Stegostoma tigrinum: one gene and its partners. The protein of the gene in region 2 purifies or fractionates together with the protein of the main gene of each other region. This does not show direct contact. Links are inferred from orthologs where the notes say so. Each region holds a gene or a part of one and is shown on either strand. Other genes may lie near its edges.

Region 1 (7,465 bases), on a different chromosome or scaffold from region 2:
CAATAGGTTCCCAGAGTTCTTCAAACTGTTTATAAAACAACTTGGTAATTTGATGGAGACCTTTTAATCTTCTCTTCATGATCTCCACACACGTGATTGCTTTGCTGACAGCTTTCCCAGTGCCGGTAAAAAGGATCTCTCTGATATTGGCTGATTCCATCTTTCCAATGGCGTATCCCATGAGATTTCGGATTTTGCTACCTTCCTTCACCTTCATTTCAATAATATCTTTTGGAAGATTGGCAATTGGCTGTGGACAAGGGAGTTCTGTGATCTTTGTTTTTTGGTAATTTTCCATTTTGAGAAATGTCTTATAATTCTGAAGTGATGGAAATCAGAACCTGTAAATATAAATATATAAATATCAATTACTTACAGCTGGAAAACTAAGAATCTAGAATGTCTACTTTGTCTGCCATTCTAATTTATTGCAAACTTAAAAATGCACTATACGTTTACCTTCCTGAAAATGCTGACTCATCCAAGTATAACAACCCGAATTGTTCTTTTAGATGACATTACACATGATAATAAGTTACTTGACAATGGAAGCATTTGACATCCAAATATGCCCATGAGTGCTGAATTTAGGAGAATACCAAGTGTGATTTCTGCTACTTTGAAGATTGAAGACAACAAAAGTACCTTGCTATGGCAGCAACTGAGGTAAACCAGCAGAACACGACAGCAGATTGAATTGATTCTTCACAAGCTATTGTTCAATCGCAATTGAGTGGTGCATGTATTCTTTACATTAAAAAACATTTCAGAGTGAAATTCCATTTGTGGTACTACATTAGCAGCAAGTGCTTTGTGCATATTTTTAATTGCTCACATCACATCCTTCTCACCCAATCTTCATTTTAAACATGTGAATTTCATTTGAAACATTTCTATTTTCTAACATCTTTGGAGCCAGTCATTTTCGTATATGCCCCAGAATCTCTGAATTTTAGATTCTATTTGATAGAAGCTAAGCATGAATTGTTCCCTAATCTACTGCTTTAGAGGCACGATGTCACACCATTCTCAGATGTCTCTAAACTCCAGAAAAGTACAGAGCTTTTCTCAAAATATCTAATTTCACATGATGTTTATGATCCATATTCAGATAACTAATAGCCAATGCACTGTCAAGTAATCAGCTGGAAGTGCAACTTGATAGCATATAATAGCAAATAATCCACAGGAGTCAAGATGGAAACATTTTCTGCAAAAACCAAATACCATCAAGAAACTGCACTTTATGCAAGTAATTTAATCAACAAAACAGAGTGAATGGAGAATAATTATATCCAAACACGAGTAAATGATTAAATCCCATGCGCTCGCAATTTCATTCTCCAAGCACGGCTAACAAAGAAATTATTCAATTATTTTCATTCTAGCTAGGAATAACTAACCTTCTCTGCTACAGTGGCATGTGGTCTTTTACCGTGATCAGAGCAGTCAGAGCCTTAATTTAACATCCTTATTTGAAAGATAACATTACTGACTAGAGTTGTGAGCGCATGGAATAGTTTACCAGTGGTAGTCGTGGAAGCGGACTCATTAGTGACATTTAAGCGACTGCTGGACATGCACATGGACAGCAGTGAATTGAGGGGAATTTAGGTTAGGTTATTTTATTTTTGGATTAGGATTATTCCACGGCACAACATCGTGGGCTCAAGGGCCTGAACTGTGCTGTACTTTTCTATGTTCTATGTTCTGTGACTCCCTCAGTACTTTTCAAGAGTATCACCCTAGATATTTTGTTGAATTCAGTCCTGCAGGACTGCTATTCACCATCATTCAGACTCTGAGCTTTAGTCAAGATTGGCACTTAAATAAAAGGCACATACAATGGCTACCTGCAATTTAAAATAAGAATTTAAAACATTAGGTATATTCAGCAGGTCAGACAGTAACCCTGTTTCTCCAGAGACAATGCTTTCAGATAAATGGCCTCTTATCAAAACTGTCAAAAGTTAGAGATGTCACAATTTTCAAGCAAGTTTAGAGAAGTCAAAGGTTGCGAGAAAAAATGTGCACATGTGAGACTATGGATGAAAGAGAGATTAGAGGATCAATGAAGGTGCAAGGCAAAATAGAGTTGTATGGATCAGATGTAAATCTGTGTGCATAAGTCACAAAGTCTCACTTCAACTGTCCAGATCACACCTGGAGTAGTGGGTGCAGTTTTGGCCTCTATCACAGAAAAGATATTATTGCTACAGAGAGACTGTAATGAAAAGTCACCAGAATTTTCTCAGGATGGCAGAACTGGCCTATGAACAGAGATTGAGCAAAGTGGACCTGTACTTTCTACAGTATTGAAGAATGAATACAAATTTCATTGAAACCTACAAAATATTTAAAGCAATAGTTAAGATAAATGAAAGTGAAACATTTCCCTTAGGTGGGGAATCTAAAGGAGGAAAATTTGAGAATGAGGGGCTTTAAAAGTCTGCCCATCTGGCATGGGAGGGCAGGATCTCTGGGCCGAATAGCCTAGCCCTGTTCCTCTGCTCTTGAAATGGGATCAAAGGTTATGATCTGAAATTGATACAGTTGGAAGGCTGCTCCTCTCTACCTTAATACCTGAAGGAGGAGCAAGGCTTCAAAAGCTTGTGTTCTCAAATAAACCTATTGGACTATAGTCTGGTGATAATGGGAACTGCAGATGCTGGAGAATCCAAGATAATAAAATGTGAGGCTGGATGAACACAGCAGGCCAAGCAGCATCTCAGGAGTACTATTGTCTGGTGTCGTGTGACTTCTGACCTTATCCAACACCGGCACCGCCACTACCACATCATTTCTTCCCCTTAATCATTCAGACTTCGCTATTTGACGTTATTTGCTACTCTCTTTTTCTGTCGCTGCTCCCAAAGCTCTGATATTTCTAACCCATCCCGCTTCTCAACAAACAGTAATTCTGTTTCTCTTTCCGAAAAGGCTGACCTGCCGAGTTTTTTTCAGTTTCGTTACCACGGCACCGTCTATTCAGCAGCTCCTGGTAGTTACCCCGCAACTTCCCAACCCGAGTCCTATCCGCACCGGGATCCCAAGCCCAGGCCTCGCACCTGGTCCTGGGCCCGGGCCCTCTGACGTAATTTCCGCCGTTGGGCGGAAGTGGCGCTGACAATGGCGGAGCTGAAGAGGCTGCAGGACCGTTTGGAGAAACTCGAGACTCGGCTGTACGGAGAGAGAGGGCGGCAGGCCGGACAGGTACTGTACCTACATGTGATAGTAATAAAACAAATCAGGTACTGCCAGTGGGAGAGAGGCCGGGACAGGTGCTGCCCGGCTGGAGCGGAGTGGAATGGGCAGGGCAGATAGAGACAGGTCGGATAGGTGTTCTTTGGGGAGGGAGTGGTGTTGGTGACAGCGAGCGGAAAAATACGACTGGGCAGGTGGGTGAAGGGTGGAGGGAGTGGATGGAATTGGGGGAAGAGATGATGGAGAAGGGATATCGGACCGGAGAGAGAGGGGCTGGGACTTGGTGATGGGAATGGAGACCAGAGTGGTAGGGTTTGAATTACGTTCCCGATCCACCCTTTCAGGTCTCTTCAGAATCTTGTATGTTACATCGAATCATCTCTCATTTGTCTGTTTTTACAAAGAAGAGTGATCCAGTGTACTTAGCTTTTTATCACAGGAATGGATCTGTTGAACCAAGTATGCTGTTTCCAATGAAATTCTGTCCTTAACTGTTCAGTCTAAAGCTATACACACAGTCTTAAAGATGTCGTCCCACTGTTTAAGCAAGGCTTCTTTATTTCTGCAGCTATGTTTTCTGCTGCCAAGGATCATGTGCATTAGCAATAATATCTGTCATAGATAAAAGAATAGTTAAAAATACAAAATAATGAGAGTTTTAATGAGAACATATCAAGTCACATACTCCAAAAGTAGAACTTTTTTTGTACTTGGCAGTAATATCACAGTGCCACATGCATGTTGGGGAATCTTTGTTGTCAGTGAACAGATCCTGTTGTTCGTTGCTTACTGCGCTGGCAAGTTTGTTTGCAAGCATTTTCTCACCATACTAGGTAACATCATGAATGTTTCACCAGTGAAGCGTTGGTGTTCTGTCCTGCTTGATACTTATGTGTCTCGGTTAGCTGGAGTAGGTGGCATCACTTCTAGATTTGTTTATTAGTGGGTGGTGTATGGGGTCCAGCTCCACATGTTTGTTAACAAAGTTCTGGTTTGAGTGCCACACTTCCAGGAGTTCTTATGTGTATCTTTGTTTGGCTAGTCCTATGATGGCTACGTTGTCCCTGTTGAATTGGTGTCCCTCTTTGTCTGTGTATTGAAATGAATGATAGTACCAAGCAAAGACACGCACGAGAATTCCTGGAAGCCGGGCCTGCAAACCGGAACTCCATTAACGAACATGTAGAGCTGGACCCCATATACCAAACAATAAGAAACCAATCCAGAGGTGACACTAGATGTTACCTAGAATGGTGATTAAATGTTTGTGAACAAACATACCAGCTCAGCAAGCAAGCCAGCAACCTGAGCTACAAATCTTCTCAAAAACTTTGAACAGACCGTATTTCTGCACTCTGATCGTATTAAAGTACAGGCTATTCTTGTCTTCTTATTTGTTTACTCCACATGAATATTTGTGCATTTAGCAAGTCTTTCTGAACATCTACATTTATAAGTTTCACACCTTTTAAATTTTTTTTGTTCTTAATGCCAAACTGAATACTAACCTTGCATTTCCCAGCATGTCACTCCACTTGCCCCATTGTTGCCCACTCACTTAAACTGTCCATAATTTCTTGCAGCCTCATTGTGTCCTCCTCACTTTACAGCTGACATTCCCAACCATCTTTGTGTCATCTACTAGTTTAGATTTGTTTCTCTTAGTTGCTTTATCTAAGTCATTAAAATACATCGTAAATACCTGTGGTCCTAAACTGATCCTTGCAGCCTACTGTGACATAGTATAGCTGTCATCAGGATCCTGTAAATTCTCCCACCAATGTTTCCCTGATTATTCCTGATCTTCAACTCATAGTGTTTTGGCTTCCTGATCTTCTGGGCCATGATCCTTTCTCAATACTATTCTTCTCTCGTTCTTTCAGTATATTAAAATTTATTTCCCATCCTTGATCACTTTGTAGATATATCCCTGCAATTTCAATTGTCATTTATCTCTCTGGTTTGTTCCTTATTTAATGCATTCAGATAATGAGCAGTTTAATGTTACTTCTCCTGCCCTCCTCTTAGTTTATCAGGTCAGAGATCCCATCCTAATTCACGTGAAGCCCATCTACAGCTCCCTCTATATTGCTGTCAAGAATCAACACCCTTCCTAACACCACTCTTTGAGTCGTGACATTGATTTTTGAATTTGCTGTACCTTATGCCAGTAGCTGTGTGGTTCAGTAACCTAATCAGACGTTATTGCTTTATTTTTATTCATATGCTCAAGGGATGTCGACACATATTGTCCTTCCCTAATTGCCTGGATAGGCATAGCAATTACAAGTCAACTGCATTGCTGTGAGCCTGGAGTCACATAGGCCAGGAAAGGACAGCAGTTTACATCCTAAAAGACAATGAGATGTGTTTTTAAGACAAATTATTTTATGGTCATCTTGAGACTTTTAATTTGGTTTTAAAAATTAAACTCAAAATCTACCATCTGCCATTGTGGGATTCAAACTCGTACTCAGAACACTAGATTTGTGTTGAGAACACTCTTCATTCTTCTAAATTCCGATGAATACAATCCCAGTCCACTTGGGCTGTGCTCATAAACCAAAGCTCTGAAATCCAGAATCAACCTAGTGAATCTCCTCTGAACCTCCTCCAATACCACTACATCCTTTCTCAAGTCCTTTCTGAAGTTGTGGATTATCAGTCCACTATTGTCTATTGATGAAAAACTTGTTCACCCAGAGAGTGGTGGATATATGGAATGCTCTGCCCCAGAAGGCAGTGGAGGCCAACTCTCTGGATGCTTTCAAGAAAGAGATAGACAGAGCTCTTAAAGATAGTGGAATCAAGGGTTATGGGGATAAGGCAGGAACAGGATACTGATTGTGGATGATCAGCCATGATCATAATGAATAGTGATGCTGGCTCGAAGGGCCGAATGGCCTACTCCAGCACCTATTATCTATTGTCTATTGTGACCACTATGTCACCATCATCTTAATTTGGACCTTGGGATCTGCTGAGTTTGAGGAAATACATCATTGGTTCTCTCTCCAGTATGACTCAACACCTGGTGGAAACGCAACCTTCAGAATGCCCAGTTGCACTTAGAGGGGACAGAACTTTTGGTTCATTCAAAAATTTTCAATAAATTTAAAATATTGTCAGTTTTAAAAACAGACTGAAGTGAAAGGTTTATTTGTTTTAAACAGTCAATGGATACATAAAAATTACTGAGTAACATTTATACAGACTGATTTTTGAAAGCCAAATTCCAGTTGCCTGCTTGTTTACTGACTTGTCTTACATTTGATAATTCTGAAAAGACTTTGCTTCTCTTGTTTTGGATTATTTGCAGGCTCTAGTGGCCAACATTAGGTATTGCAAGTTTACAAGATGTATTTATGTTGATATTTTCAGCGCTTGGGAATGGACTACTATCATGGACTACAATATTCGTCCTCAAGTAGTTCACTCCAGATGAGAAAAGTAAAAGCACTTAAGAAAAAAAAAATGCCATCTGTGAATCACCTACTCGGGTTAATTGGTGCCTTTACTATGTGACAATTTGAATTTCACATAAGGACCAGAAGGAGGAGCAGTTCATCCCCTCTGACCATTGCCCTTACTGTTCAAAAAATTATCATCTTAGCTTGAAAAAGATTCAATGAGGAAGCCTCAACTACATCACTGGGCTAGGAATTCCACAGATTCACAATCCTTTGAGTAAAGAAGTTCCTCCTCAATTCAATTCAAAGTCTGCTCCCCCTAATTTTGAGGCTATGCCCTTTTGTTCTAGTTTCACCTGCCAATGGAAACATTCTCCCTGCTCTGTCTTAGCTATTCATCTCATAAAATTATGTATTTCTGTAAGATCCCTCTTCATTCTTCTAAATTCCGATGAATACAATCCCAGTCCACTTGAGCTGTGCTCATAAACCAAAGCTCTGAAATCCAGAATCAACCTAGTGAATCTCCTCTGTACCTCCTCCAATACCACTACATCCTTTCTCAAGTAAGGAGACCAAAACTGCATGCAGTACTCCAGTTATGGCCCTACCAGCACCCCATCCAGCTGTGACATAATCTCCCTGTTTTTAAACTCAATCCCTCTAGCATCAAAGGACAAAATTCCATTTGTCTTCTTAATTACCTGTTGCACCTACAAGCTAACCTTGTGTGATTCATGCACAAGGGTTCCCAGGTACCTCTGCGCAACAACATGCTGTGGACTAACTCCAATGTCAGGATATCTTCCTTTTGATTAGGGCCCCAAAACTGTTCACAGTATCCCAGATTT
Region 2 (6,998 bases):
TAGAACTTGAATTTGGATCTTCTGGCCCAGAGGCAAGGACGTTGGCACTGTGCCATGAAACCAACCCTTTATAATTCCACCTACTGTGGTGGAATTTGAACCTATGTCCCAAAGCATGAGACTGGATCTCTGGATTACCAGCAAAATTACATTAGCGCCACACCATTGTCTAACCCCAAACTCCATTACATACATACCACATGTGATGCATTTTTATTTTCTTCTTGGCAAAGTTCAATAATCAAATCCTTTCTAATGTCTTCAAAATCCTCCACAGCAGGTATATCCTGCTCGTCATTCACTGCTCCTTGTGGTTGTATAAATGACAACTTAGATGTTATTATAGGCTCCATTCTGGCAAGAAAAGAAAAAAAAGTTGGGAAAATACAAAAAACAAACATTGTATTTTAACCCCAGGAACCTTTCAACTTCAGGTTCTGAAAAACGTGCAAAAAAAGGCTAGATGCAACTCAAAAGATTAGTTTTTTCAAATGTCACTCAGCATGACAAGAGCAGGCTACCTGGTCATTATCACATTAAGTTTAAGGTTAGCTGTTTTATTTCCAAAATGACTTTAATGGTTTTGCTGCAAAGAACTCTATTGGCCAAAAAATGCATTTCCTTTCTAAATTTAATTTTCCTAATCATCTGTTCAGAGATGTTATTACATGCCTTTGGAGGAAGTGCGACTCTGGTTTTTGGGTCTAGCAGTAGGAACACTGCCAATGCATCAGAAAAAAGGCCCTCCATTTATTTATTTGATATATTGTGATTTTGAAGGTTCCACCCTCGCAGCCTCCTTCATGCTAAAAGTGCAACTACCACAGATTAAACCCACCAGGGTGGGGGAGGACGAGGACGAGGACAGAGCGAGAGAGTGCGACTTACATAATAAATGCACTATGCTGCCAAAAAAAAAAACAACTGCAGATACTGGAAATCAAACAAAAACAGAAACTGCTGGAAAAACTCAAAAACGTTGATGGAGAGAAATTAGAACTAATGTTTCAGGTCCAGCGATATTTCCTCAGAACTAGAAAATACTGTTCAATTCTGAAGGAGGGTCACTGGACCCAAAACATTAAACACAGATTTCTCTCTACAGCTGAGAGTTAGTAGTAACACCGATGCTGGAGAATCTGTGATAACAAGGCGTAGAGTTAGATGAACACAACAGGCCGAGGAGCATCAGAGGAGCAGGAAGGGTCCAGACCCAAAACTTCAGCTTTCCTGCTCCTCTGACGCTGCCTGGCCAGCTGTGTTCATCCAGCTCTACACCTTGTTATCTTTCTCTCCACAGCTGTTGCTATTCCTGCTAAGTTTTTCCAGCAATTTCTGTTTTTAATCACTAGATTGCAAACAAGGTTTCAAAAGATTCCATTTACAGCTGGAGTAGCATGACTTCAAGTCCCACACACTCCAGAGGAGTGTAATAACATCTGAACAGGTTGATTAGAAAACATCTCATGTGTACTCAAGTACAGGATAAGAGTACAGTGAAAAGTGCATAATGTCATCACAAATGGCATCATCTTTAGGTGTAAGTACCTCGGTAAAAAAATCTTAGTTACTGGCAGAAAAATAAAGAAATAAAAGTTAATAAGTTCAGCATTACATAGTTTTAGCATAACAGTAGAAAAATAAAGAGGTAACTTTACAGTCATTTCTTGATGGTCCAAGCTGGGCTTCCCCAAGAGGGCTTGCTCTTCACCCCCATCACCATGCCGAACAAACTTTCACCCATGCTAAGACCCGTCTGAGCATTCCTGGCTGTGCCACCACTCAAGGCTTTGGCCCCAATCATCACAGACTGCCAGTCGTCAAAGGCCAACCACCACCGTTATCCTTTGCCACTGGCCAGTCATTGCTCTCAGCCAGACTTGCACTGGGCTCCACCCACTGCCATGCTCCATCACTGCTGCTGCCACCTCAACTTTTACAAAATGTTCGAGGTCCACACTGGCCTCACTTGAGGTCCACAAGTTCTGCTGTCGATGCCACCCAAGCTCAAGGTGGTAAGTAAGGAAAAAAGAAGTTAAAAAAAAAACAAACAATTGGAGCAAATAAGCTCCAGCTAAGGAGCCAACTCTGCTGCTGTCTTTCAAGGGTGGACTATTAATTATCACTACCGTCTCGACGGACACATATCAATGCAAGGTCCTGTCCAAACAACTCAACATTCTGATTTGGAATGGGATTGCCATTCCTCCAGTGCCACTGTATCAAAATCATTCAACTCCAATCACTTCACCCAAATAACATTATGGATGCAGCTACAGAAAGGAGGACAAAGCCAGTACAGCTGACAGTGCATTAATAAATTATTTAAATCCAAACTAGCACAAGTGTTCCAAATTCTCCAAGCACTCAAGAATCCTAATCAATAGGGTTGGGAAACAGGCATTGGGAGCTTGCTGATGTAAAGCTTTTATCTTCCAAATGTCAAGTCTTCTCTCAGGACTTATTTTCTGCAGATTAATTTCCCACACATTACACACTGCTGCAGCAAATTAAATTCGAATGTCTTAAGCCTGCTGTTCTTAGCTTTTGGTTGGACACATCCTAGAGCAAGTAGTCTTCCATCCATTTGATTAGAGAGTTACTCTTTAGTCTGACAGAACACAGCAGCTAGGAAAACAAAAATCAAAAAGAGGAATTGGGCCAATAACACAACTTTACTCAACACCTGCACTAACCTCAAGAGAGGTCTGTGATGGATCCATTGCCAAAAATCACCAGTCGTATTGTCATGAGGCAAGCAATTTTTTTGGAAGACAACTATACTTCAGCAGAATCTTCTGGAATACCTGACAATTTACAAAGTTGAAGACCATTGTCAAGTTGAAAAAATATTGAGTGGTTGGCATCAGCCATTTTCTCATAGGCTGTGATTATCCTCTCAGCTATATCTCTTGATGGCCAAATTTCTCACAGATTCATGGAAGAAGCGTTTAATAAATGTAATCAGTCCGTTCAGTTTCTCCTAATGATCACTCCTTCAATGGACAGCTGGGAGATTACTCTAATTTTCACAGTTGGATTTGTCCGATTACTTGTCACAATCGTAGGGTCACTGACATTACTCAAGACTTCCTCTTCACTTCAGATCTCCAAAACATTTCACCGACAGGATGCTGGAAACGTAGAACTTGCCACCACAAAAAGTCCATGCAACGAGCAGTGATGCCCTTTAGAGGAAAGCTTGATAAAACACCAAAGGGAGAAAGGACCAGACCAATGTACGGAATGGAGAGAATAGTCTCCGGAACACTCGCACGAGTTGTGGGAAGTCACCCCCTTCAAATGTATATCAAAAGGTTTTCAACGATGTTGGTCGAGAATGTAACATTAGACAAGTGCACGGACATCTTCCGGATCTTGTCCGATTCACAAAATCCTTTAGGTCCACCCTAATCAACAACTTTGCCAGTTTACTAGAAGAGTTCAGAGTAGAACGCTATTATGTCTTAAATTCGTCAGTGTCCATGGACAGAGCAGAGTGCACTCTGTTCACCGGGACGGGAGAACACCAACAGCGGACTTACCTGGTCTATGAAGACCGGAACCCTCTGATGCAGACTGGCACTTGTTCAGGAGCGAGCACAGACCAGGTACGAAGTGACCGGCCTAATTTTCGTATATCGACCACTAGCACTCAGTTATGTTCTCTCTTCGACAGACAAAAGCATCAGGGCTGGGACTATGATCCCTTTCACATGCACATATGTAGATCACCAGAACTTAGTTGTGATCGCTGTCATACAGACAAACACTGACCGCCAGAACTCAGTTATAAATCACAGATTGAACCTAGTGGCTCCAATAGCCGCTTGCCTGCCGCGCGCTCCCAACTAACGTTCCTGCCGCGCGCTCTGGTTTTTAAATCCCACCAATAGCGAGCTGCCAGCTTCCCGGAGCATCACGGGTAGTGGGTAGTGCAGCTGCGCAGCGGTCGTGTGGTTCTTGGAAGATCGTGGTAAGGTGATAAGATGAGGAGAAAATGCTTTGTGTCCTTATTTGTAAGGATGCTAATCGGATGGGATGCGGATATGAGCCTGGGAATCATAGTATGACGATCCAGTTCAGCATGACTTTGCTTTGACGCAAGGTCGCCGTCCAGAACCTTGAACTCTGTTTCTGTCTCTTCACAGATGTTGCACAGCATAACCGAGCTTTGCCAGCATTTTCTGTTCTTTTTCGAGTTTGTCTTTGATTTAAAGTGGGATCGACAGTAGACGGTGCCTTTAGGCGAAGTGCTGCGGGCGAAAACATTGACCTTTCCAGCCCAGGAAGAGCAAACGTTTCCCCTCACGTTGTGAAAGCATGGCGCCTTTTGTAGATTTAAACATCGTCAACACTACGGACAGAAAGAGATTGCAAAGTCTAATAGAAACAGCGGCACACCGTGAGTGTTGTTTCTTCTTAAATCACGTTGCAATGTCTTAAAGCACGTTACAGTTTCACTCTTTGAATGTCTGAGAGTGGATTTAATTAATGTTTTTTAAATGTTCTCTTGTCATGTGAAATAATTATTTTATTCTTTTCGGGCGACTGACAAACCGCATTGAATGAACTGCGTAGGATTTAGTTTTAATGGTGATTCCCAACCTGGAAATTATTGTCATTATCAAATTTCGTACACAGCGCTGTTCTTCAGACACAGCAAAATCAGAGTCAATGCGAATCAGAACGAAAACTCTACTATTTCAAGACATGTCTAACACAAACGATTCAGTGATAATGGGAACTGCAGATGCTGGAGAATCCAAGATAATAAAATGTGAGGCTGGATGAACACAGCAGGCCCAGCAGCATCTCAGGAGCACAAAAGCTGACGTTTCGGGCCTAGACCCTTCATCAGGTCTAGGCCCGAAACGTCAGCTTTTGTGCTCCTGAGATGCTGCTGGGCCTGTTGTGGTCATCCAGCCTCACATTTTATTAACAGAAATGATTGAAGTGTTTCTAGGCCAGCCATCTCAGTCCTGGGAGATTGCTGTGGGATTTCCTCGGGGTAGAAATTGGAAAATCACCTGTTCAGACATATTCCGAAGCAGGTGGGGCTTCCACTTAGGCATCCTTGCCCCACAGTAGGAGCGCTTCCACTGTGCCACCAGATCCCTAACTGTTCCTAAGAGTATTAATAAACCGAATTTTCTAATCAACCTTTTCAAAGGAGTTATTGCACACCTCTAAAACCGGTGGAACTTGAACCCAGGCCTCCTGGTCCAAGGTAGAGATACTACCACTGCACCAGAAGACCCCTGACTGCTATGTGCAGAGACCTAAACCCAATTATTTTCAGATGCTTCACCAATATGAGTTCAGAATAGGGATGTTTCTTGATTGGAGATTCATTACCATCTTTGACTTCTCATATACTGAATCAGTTCTTTTTTTTTAATTAGTCCCAAAACATTTCTTTACTTGGTCCAGAGTAGAGCATTCAACCTTTATTGATGTCCCCACATTCTTTTGGTGTTTTTTACCATTGATGTGATCCAGTAAGTTGATTGAATCCTTTAGTCACAAACATTCCAGTAATATGCTCCCATATCAGACTGTAGTCTTTGCGATGACTATGGATTTTCTTAAGTTTATAATCATTGTGGCATGAAAGCTCATGCCTGATTGGTACTGGAGGCTTTGCACTTTGCATCTCTCTTTCTTCTTGCAACTGCTTATGCACCAATTTCTCATATTCCTTATTGGTCCCACTTCTTGCATTTTTTTGTCCTGCTCCCTGATGCCATCTGCAGCTAAGTGTGGATAACATTTGGGCCTGGCTGATGAGTGGCAAGCAACATAAGTGCCAGGTATCAACTTTTTCAAACAGAAGAATCCAATTGTGTCTCCATGACATTCAATGATGATACCATTGTTAGAACTCCCAGCATCAACATCCATTGACCAGAAATTCAGCTGGATCAGACATATAACTAATATGGATGGCTGAAAGAGAAAGTTGGAAAATAGGGATTCCTGCAGTGAGTAACCTACTTCCTGACTTCCCAAAGCCTAGTGGCAATCTGCAAGACACTGCTGAGGACTCTGCTGAAATGCTGTCTGCTGGCCTGGATAAACCCAGTTCCAACTACATTCAAGAAGCATGCCTACTATGCAGGAAAAAAAACAGCCTATTTACTTATCAGCCAATTTGAATAGTCAACCCCATCCACTAGGGTGCAGTGGTAGCGATGCATACCATATAAAGGACGACAGCGAAGGCAGTAGAATTATCAGAATGCAACCTGCAAGTTTTCATGCGAGTTATACACCATCCTGACTTGGAACTACATCACTGCTGCTTCACTGTTACAGGGCTAAAATCCCTAACAACACTGGGTGCACCCTCACCAGAAGGACTGCAATGATTGAAAATACCACCGACTCCACTGCAAATGCTGGGACTACTGCCATCCCACATGTCCTGTGAAAGAATGCAACAAAAAAGTCTTTTGATGTCCAGTTCTCCCTAGATCAATTTTAATCATTTGTTGGGCTAAAAAGTTCAACACAGCTGCTCAGAAGTGTCATGATCCACCTCTGGAAAAGGTGGGACTTGAATTCTGACCTTCTGATTAGAGGTAGAGACACTGACTGCGCCACAAGACCCCCTTTACACAAGGCTGTAAATTGTGGTTAATCCTACCATGTCCTATCCATGCCCTTCCTGTTGTGCTTTGTTGTCAATTTGATAAAAGCACTCAATTTCCAATAATTGGAGGGAGAAGTCATTTTGACTTTGCCTCCAGAAGAAGCCTCACCAACCTCTTGCACCACCTCAACGTAACGTATGCGGAAGTCGAAGCCATGAATACAAGTGTGATAAAGGCCTTCTTAATCACCCAGGCAATCTTCAAAAAAAATTATGTACCTAAACTCCTAAGTCTCTGTTCTACAACACTGCCCAAGGCCGCACTTTTAATTGAACAAATCCTGCCCTTGTTTGTCTTAACAAAATGCAATAGCTCACGTTTATCCCAATTAAACCCCGTCTG
Region 3 (8,012 bases), on a different chromosome or scaffold from region 2:
AGTGTGGGATGCAGCTGTCACTTATAGGAGCCAGCCAATTTCAGAGAATTCTAAAGAGACAAAAAAAGTACATTTGACACATTCGTGGGGTTAAGTATTGATATTTACAAATCTCAATCAAAATCACAAAATCTGTTTAGAAAGGGGAGAGAAACAAACAAAATGAACAGTTTATGCAAAATTAAAGATGTACCATGAAAAAAAGTGGCTTTTTCCACATTAAATCACATGAATATGCAGCCTACAGAAAATACCTCAAGCCCAATAATCCCTTTACAAATGAGGTTCTAGGAATCATCATCACATTGCTCCAGAAGAAAACTTCAAACTTTTATTCTTCTCAACAAGAGCTTTCTGGCCATCTTTACAGAACTGTTTACTTGATATCTTAGGTACCGGAAATGAGAAGCATGTCTATTCGATTAATTTGCTAAACATTTTCCCTTCATTTTGATTAAAAAGACAGTTTTTAAGTTGATTATTCACTTTAATTTCATTCCAAGATTAAAGTTCTCACCAACTGATGTATGAAGTTCAGGCTATACAGTGCTAGTTGACTGTTTTCTAAATGAACTATGAAGCAACTTGCCGAAAGTGCTGAAACTTCATTAACGTTTGCTTTTAAAAGATAACTTAGAACAAATGTATCAGCTTGTCCCAAATATACAAAATAATAGTGAACTTGTCTACCTGCACAATCCAATGAGAATAAAGGTAAATGCGTCATTACTTCTCCCCGCTGTGTAACCTTAATTAGCCATTGTTTACTGAATTATTGAATCGTAGTATTTCCAATTGTTGTGAAAGTATATAATTGTTGTTAAATGAGAACCTTCACTTTACAACTTTCCTGTACAGAACTGATAAGTGTAGATCAGTGATTTCTTTGCATAACAGCACAGAAAAATATTGCAAGAATTTATTAGCGCAAGAATGATTCAGTCACAAATTCAAAGCTCCAAAATGGAGAAGGCTCATTTATGGAGTGAGAATACTTCAAAAGATACATACATAAATGCTTGAAAGTAAATTACCGGGTGAATTGTGGCCCTGGCTGTTATGTGGAGTCTTTGTTCTAAACGTCATTCTATTTATAAGCATGACTCAGAGTCAGAGTTACAGCATGGAAACAGACTATTAAGTCCAACTCATCCTTGCTGACCAGATATCCTAAACCGATCTAGTTCCATTTGCCAACATTTGGCTCATATCTGTCTAAACCTTCTTATTCATGTAGCCATCCAGATGGCTTATGTTGTAATTGTACCTGTTTCGCTCATTCCTGACATGTGCCATTCTCTGCAATGAGAACAGTGCCTCTCAAGTCTTTTTTAAATGTTTCCTCTCTCACCTTAAATCTATGCCCTCTAGTTTTGCACTCCCCTATCCTGGGGGAAAGACATTGGGTATTCATCCTACCCATGCCCTTCATGATTTTATAAACCTCTATAAGGTCACCACTTAACTTCTGAGCCTCCAGCCTATTCAGCCTCTCCCAATTCTGGAAACATCCTTATCAATCTTTCCCTACTCCTTTCATGTTTAAGCAATATTTTTCATAGAGTAGGCAGACCAAAACTGAACGTAGTGTTCCAAACATGGCTTCACCAATGTCCTGTACAATCACATGACATCCCAACTCCTATACTCAATGGACTGACCAATAAAGGCAAGCATGCCAAACCAACGCTAAACAAAATACAGACCTTGTAAAGAGAAATCATTGCTTTGCTAAATGAAGCCGTGGAAAATGTCAGCTTTAAAATTGCCTTCAAAGTAAAATGAATTTCAGGGTTTCAGCAGGGGAAACTATAAAGATTGAGACAAACAGATATTATGGAGATAATAGGAGATTATAGGAAAGATGTGGATGCTTTGGAGAGGGTTCAGAGGAGGTTTACCAGGATGCTGCCTGGACTGGAGGGCTTATCTTATGAAGAGAGGTTGACTGAGCTCGGTCTCTTTTCATTGGAGAAAAGGAGGAGGAGAGGGGACCTAATTGAGGTATACAAGATAATGAGAGGCATAGATAGAGTTGATAGCCAGAGACTATTTCCCAGGGCAGAAATGGCTAGCACAAGGGGGGTCATAGTTTTAAGCTGGCTGGTGGAAAGTATAGAGGGGATGTCAGAGGCGGGTTCTTTACACAGAAAGTTGTGAGAGCATGGAATGCGTGGCCAGCAGCAGTTGTGGAAGCAAGGTCATTGGGGCCATTTGAGAGACTGCTGGACAAGCATATGGTCACAGAAATTTGAGGGTGCATACATGAGGATCAATGGTCAGCACAACATTGTGGGCTGAAGGGCCTGTTCTGTGCTGTACTGTTCTATGTTCTATAGAAAACAACAGATCAGAAAGGAGAACAAAATCAGGATTGTAAAATTCACCACTTTTCAACTCAGTGTCAGATCATACCCTGGACAATTCCAAAGCCATTGACAGGAATTACAATAGTTGGAACTGAACATGTCTTTGAATACTAATTATTCAGGAGGAAATATTTATCTCATGCAACTTTAATTGAGATAGGCAGCAGGAGGTTATCAAAACAACCCCAACAGAATCTGGAGGAACATGGAGCCAGAAAAAGCCAGCTGCTAAGTAGTGTCTCTGAGAAATGAAGCTGTGCCTGAGGAGTCCATCAATAACGAAGAGAAAGGCTTTGCTATATGAATCTTGGATAACAAGAGCTAGATGAAACAGTAGGCCAAGCAGCACCAGAGGAGCAGGAAGGCTGACATTTCGGGCCTAGACCCTCTTCAGAAATCTTGGACCTGTTTACTGAAGCTGCGACGAACCTGTTCACCATTTCCATGGTAACACTGGCATAGATGGGACACTGGAGAGGAGCCTCTTTGTGGAGCTTAGTAACTCTTCCGTCTTTCCGATAACCAAAAGGTCGGCGGCGGCAACTCCTACAGCTGACCGGCTCGAAGGGGTGGTACTGGTGTACTACAAGCCCAGAACATCCTCCTGCGCCCTGACCCCAAAAGCTCCAACTTCTTAATAAACGCGGCAGAGTGTGAGCTACTTACTGTCCATAGCGCGGCGTGATTACGTCAGCGCCGACTCATTGAAATGTCGTCACTTCAGGCGCTAAGCAACCCCACCCCCTTTATGATTGATGGAAAGTTAAAACGCTTTAAACCTGCCTTTTCTTACTTTGAACCTATCCTTTTGACCTATTAATAGTTTAATCACAAAGTCACTTTTTGATCTTAGCTTCTGTTGAGAGTTTAAGTTGTCTCATTGAAGTTTGCAAATTGTCATCTTGGTCTAAACCCATAATGTAAGTCATTGTAGAACATCAGGGATCAATGTCATTGCTCTTGACTTGCAATCAGAGACTGTGAGCTGATTTTAACTCGAAGCAAGTGAATGGATTTTAAATAGCTTAGAATCTTTGCTGGAACATTCCTCTGGAATTTGGTGATCAGAACTGGGCACAGGACTAAAGTAGTAATATAGAGGATTGATGAGGGCAGAGTGTGGATGTGATCTATCTGGACTTCACTAAGGCTTTCAAAAAAAGGTGTTTCATGGCAGGCTGATCAGCAAGGTTAGATCACATGGAATAGAGGGAGAACTAGTCATTTGGACACAGAAGTGGCTGGAAGGTAGAAAGTGGTGGTGCAGGGTTGCTTTTCAAACCGGAGGCCTGTGGCCAGTGGTGTGCCACAAGGACTATTGCTGGGTCCACTGCTTTTTGTCATTTATATAAATGATTTGGATGTGAACGTAGCAGGTATGGTTAGTAAGTTTGCAGAGGACACCAAAATCGGAGGTGGAGTCGACAGTGAAGGTTACCTCAGAGTACGACAGGATTTTGATCAGATGGACCTATGGGCTGAGGAGTGGCGGATGGAAGTTAATTTAGGTAAATGTGAGGTGCTGCATTTTGGAAAGGCAAATCAGTGCAGGGCTTATACACTGAATGTTATGGTGCTGGGGTGTGTTGCCGATCAAAGAGGCCTTGGAGCGCAGGTTCATTGTGGAGCTATAGGTAGCTAGGCTAGGGAAGGAGGCATTTGGTACGCTTCCCTTTATTGGTCATTGCATTGAATATAGGAATTGGGAGGTCATGTTGCAGCTGTACAGGACATTAGTTAGGCCACTTTTGGAATACTGTGTGCAATTCTAGTCTTCCTGCTGTAGGAAAGATGTTGTGAAACTTGAAAGGGTTTCAGAAAATATTTATGAGGAGGTCGCCAGAATTGGAGGGTTTGAGCTATAGGGAGAGGCTGAGTAGACTGAGTATATTTTCCCTGAAGCATTGGAGGCTGAGGGTTGATCTTATAGAGGTTTATAAAAGCATGAGGGACATGGAAAGGTAAATAGATAAGGTCTTTTCCTTGAGTAGGGGAGCCCAAAACTAGAAGGCACAGATTTAAGGTAAGAGGGGAAACATTTAAAAGGGACCCAAGGGGAACTTTTTCACAGAGAGGGTGGTGTGTGTGTGGAATGAGCTGCCTGAGGAAGTGCGGGAGGCTGGTACAATTAGAACATTTAAAAGGCATCTGGATGGGTATATGAATAGGAAGGGTTAAGAATATGGGCCAAGTGGAACTGGATTTATTTTGGGTATCTGATCGGCATGGACAAGTTGGTTCAAAGGGCCGGCTTCCATGCTGTACCTCTGACTCTGTAGCTTAATCAGCAACTTATAGAAAATTCATAGTTCTTATATACCAGTTAACTTGCACAATCACTCCTTTATCTCTTTTATGGCACAACTACAATAAATGCTTAATACTGATTTTGATTGTTTTCACACATTTTATTTTCTGCTTCCTATTGAAAGGCCATTTTCAACCAGCCTAACCAATTTCACATAAATGCTAACATCTTTAACTTACTTGGAAAAAAAGCTTTTTGATAGTCATATGCCTGAGACAACTGTTATCTACTTGTTTAAATACCTGTTCAAAGAATACAAGACATGTATACTCTTACATACAACCTTAGGCCTGCTCATTTTATCTGCACTCTGAATAAATATACATAAAATTCTTTATAATGGTGTCAAGTATTAGTCCCATGGTGAAAGTTACATGAGTTTCTATTTTATTTTTTATGTTCCTCTTGTTTCTGTTCTGAATATCAACATAGCAGGTGATTTCCAATTCCTTGTCATTAGTTAATTACTGAGCCTATAGGAACAGGAGTTGGCCATTTAGCCTTTCGATTCTTGTCCATCATTCAATGAGCCCATGGCAAATCTATGGTCTAACTCCACATATCTGCCTTTGGCCCATATTCCTTAATATGTTTGCTGAACAACTTTTTTTCTATCTCAGGTTTAAAACTAACAACTGATCTAGCATCAACCACCATTTGTGGAAGAGAGTTTGAAGCCACCATCCTTTGTGTGTAGGAATGCTTCCTAAATACGCTTCTGAACACACTGGTCCTAATCTTAAGGCTATGCCCCGAGTTCTACAATCCCCAACCAGAGGAAGTAATTTATCTTTATCTGCCCTTCTTTTCTTGTTAATATCTTGAAAGCTTTGGTCAGATAACCCTTGAATCTTCTAAATTCCTGATAACATGGGTCAAATATGTATAATCTTTCCTCAAAACTTAACCCCTGAAGTCTAGGTTCCATAGATGTAAACCTACATTGTGCTCCTTTTGACTCCAAATGGGGCCTCACCAGGAACAAAAACCAAAATTGCTGGAAAAGCTCAGCAGGTCTGGCAGTATCTGTGAAGAAAAGATCAGAGTTAGTGTTTCGGGTCCAGTGACGCTTCCTCAGAACTGATGGTAGCTGGGAACATCGGTTATATGCAGAAAATAGGGAAGGGGTGGGGTAGGGAGTAAATGATAGGATAAAGCCCAAAAAGAGACAAGTGCAGTTGGATAAACAAAGGAGTTGAAAAAGATCTGACCAAGAGGGTGAATAGTTATTAATAGGGACTGTTAGTGACTAACAATAGGTAGTATTGAATGGCAAACTATGTGATAACAAGGCCTGGTATGTGGGGTAGGTGGCTAGGACATGGGAAAGTTTAGGCCCTAAAATTATTGAACTCAGTATGGAGTCCAAAGGGCTGCAAGGTCCCCATGTAGAAAATGAGATGTTGTTCTTCCAACTTGCATTGAGCTTCGCTGGAACACTGCAACTATTTGGAGGCAGAGGTTGGTCAGGGAACAGGGTGGTGTGTTAAAGTGGCAGGCAACAGGTAGCTCAGGGTCTTTTCTGTGAGCGGAACGTAGATGTTCTGTGAAGTGGTCACACAGTCTATGCTTCATTTCCCCAATGTAGAGGAGATCACAATGTGAGCAGAGAATGCAGTAGACTAGTCTGGGAAGTGCAAGTCAAGTGTAAATGGGCAGATGTTGCACCTACACTGGTTGCAGGGAAAGGTGCTGTGGGGCGAAGGAAGAGTGGACCAGGGTTTCCCGAAGGGAATGGCCCCTACAGAAGGCGGACAAGAGAGGGGAAGAAAATATGTGTGCGGTGGTGGCATCTTGCTGGAGGTAGCAGAAATGGTGTCTGAGGATCTTCTGGATGTGGATGCTGGTGAAATGGTAGGTAAGGACAAGGGGAACATTATTGCTGTTGAGGGAGGGAAGAGAAGGGATAAGGGCGGAGGTACGGGAGGGCAGAGGTACGGGAGGGCGGAGGTACGGGAGATGGGTTGGACCCAGTTGAGGGTCCTGTTAACAATAGTGCTGGGAAGTCCTCAGTTGAGGAAGAAGGTGGACATTATGAAGGCTCCCTTGTTGAAGTTGACCTCATCTGAACATATACTTTGGACACGGAAGGACTAAGAGAATGGAATGGAGTCTTTACAGGAAGTGGGTGTGAGGATGTATCGTCCAGGTAGCTGTGGGAGTCAGTGGGTTTACAGTGGATATTAGTGGCCAGTCTACCCCCAGAAATGGAAACAGATATTGAGGAAGGGTAGGGAGGAGTCAGAGTTAGACCAGGTGAAAGGGAGGGCAGGGTGGAAATTGGAAGTGAAATTGGTGAACTTTGCCAATTCTGGATGTGAGAGAGAGAAGCACCACTGATGATATCATTGATATATTGGAGAAAGAGTTGTGGGTGGGGCTCAGAATAGCATTGGAACAATGTTCTACGTACCCCACAAAGAGACAGGCATAATTGGGGCACATGCGGGTACCCTTGGTAATCCATTTTACCCGAAGAAGATGGGAGGAGTTAAAAGAGAAGTTGAGGGTGAGGATGAGCTGGGCCATGTGGAGGATGGTGGTGGTGGGGGGTGGGGACAGTTCAGGCCTTTGCTCCAGGAAGAAGTGGAGAGCCCTAAGACCCTCCTGGTGGAGAATGGATGTGTAAAGTGATTGCACGTCATGATAAATGGGAGGTGGCTGGAGACTGCAAACTGAATATTTTGAAACTGGCATCAAGTGTCAGAGAAATCACGGATGTACATGGGCAGGGATTGGACCGGGGAGAGAAGATTGAGTAAAGGTAGGTAGAGATGAATTCTGTGGGCCAGGAGCAGGCTGACACAATGGGTCTGCACAGACAGTCCTGTTTGTGGATTTTTGGGAGGAGGTTGAGCGCCAGCTCTCAGAGACCTCCTCCTATCTTCCCCTGGACCATGACCCCACTGTGACGCATCAGGCCATTGTATCTACTATGGTAACTGATCTCATTTCATCCGGTGAGCTCCCCCCACTACTTCCAAGCAGATAGTTGCCCAGCTCTGCACAGCTTGCTTCTGTCTCCTTCCAAAAATAAACATGCTGCCAAACCTGCTGAGCTTTTCCAGCAACTTCTGTTTTTGCTCCTGATTTATAGCATCTGCAGTTCTTTCAGTTTTTATGGGGTCCAAGCAGGGTTTTGTACAACTGGAGCTTAACTTCTGCATTCTTATACTCCAGTCCTGTAGGTATAAATGCCAGATTCCATTAGACTTGATTGCAAAAAACAATCTGGCATTTTAAATATCTATGCACTTTATTTCCCAAGTCTCTTTGGATACCTACTGTATTTAAATTCATACTCTGATCTATCCTTTGCCTTCTATCATTTTCTT

Evidence for each region.
Region 1: the proteins of rpp30 (region 2) and rpp25l purify together in Homo sapiens (co-immunoprecipitation; 3 studies listed by BioGRID and IntAct, counting the BioPlex papers as one, with this or other methods). This does not show direct contact. The link is inferred for Stegostoma tigrinum from reciprocal best matches to the Homo sapiens genes RPP30 and RPP25L.
Region 3: the proteins of rpp30 (region 2) and pop4 purify together in Homo sapiens (affinity purification with mass spectrometry; 4 studies listed by BioGRID and IntAct, counting the BioPlex papers as one, with this or other methods). This does not show direct contact. The link is inferred for Stegostoma tigrinum from reciprocal best matches to the Homo sapiens genes RPP30 and POP4.

The regions. Positions count from the first base shown.
Region 1 is NC_081354.1:146,847,160-146,854,624, forward strand, and holds the start of rpp25l (ribonuclease P protein subunit p25-like protein), read right to left. Parts: upstream 3,102-7,465; 5' UTR 2,947-3,101; intron 342-2,946; 5' UTR 299-341; coding exon 1-298. Other genes in the region: dctn3 (dynactin subunit 3), read left to right, coding at 3,130-3,213. UniProt on the Homo sapiens protein: May be a component of ribonuclease P or MRP.
Region 2 is NC_081373.1:44,334,689-44,341,686, reverse strand, and holds the start of rpp30 (ribonuclease P protein subunit p30), read left to right. Parts: upstream 1-3,918; 5' UTR 3,919-3,976; exon of another isoform or gene 3,977-4,151; 5' UTR 4,152-4,323; coding exon 4,324-4,405; intron 4,406-6,998. Other genes in the region: kif20bb (kinesin-like protein KIF20B), read right to left, coding at 198-353. UniProt on the Homo sapiens protein: Component of ribonuclease P, a ribonucleoprotein complex that generates mature tRNA molecules by cleaving their 5'-ends. Also a component of the MRP ribonuclease complex, which cleaves pre-rRNA sequences.
Region 3 is NC_081369.1:32,454,675-32,462,686, reverse strand, and holds the start of pop4 (ribonuclease P protein subunit p29), read right to left. Parts: upstream 3,102-8,012; 5' UTR 3,043-3,101; coding exon 3,036-3,042; intron 1-3,035. UniProt on the Homo sapiens protein: Component of ribonuclease P, a ribonucleoprotein complex that generates mature tRNA molecules by cleaving their 5'-ends.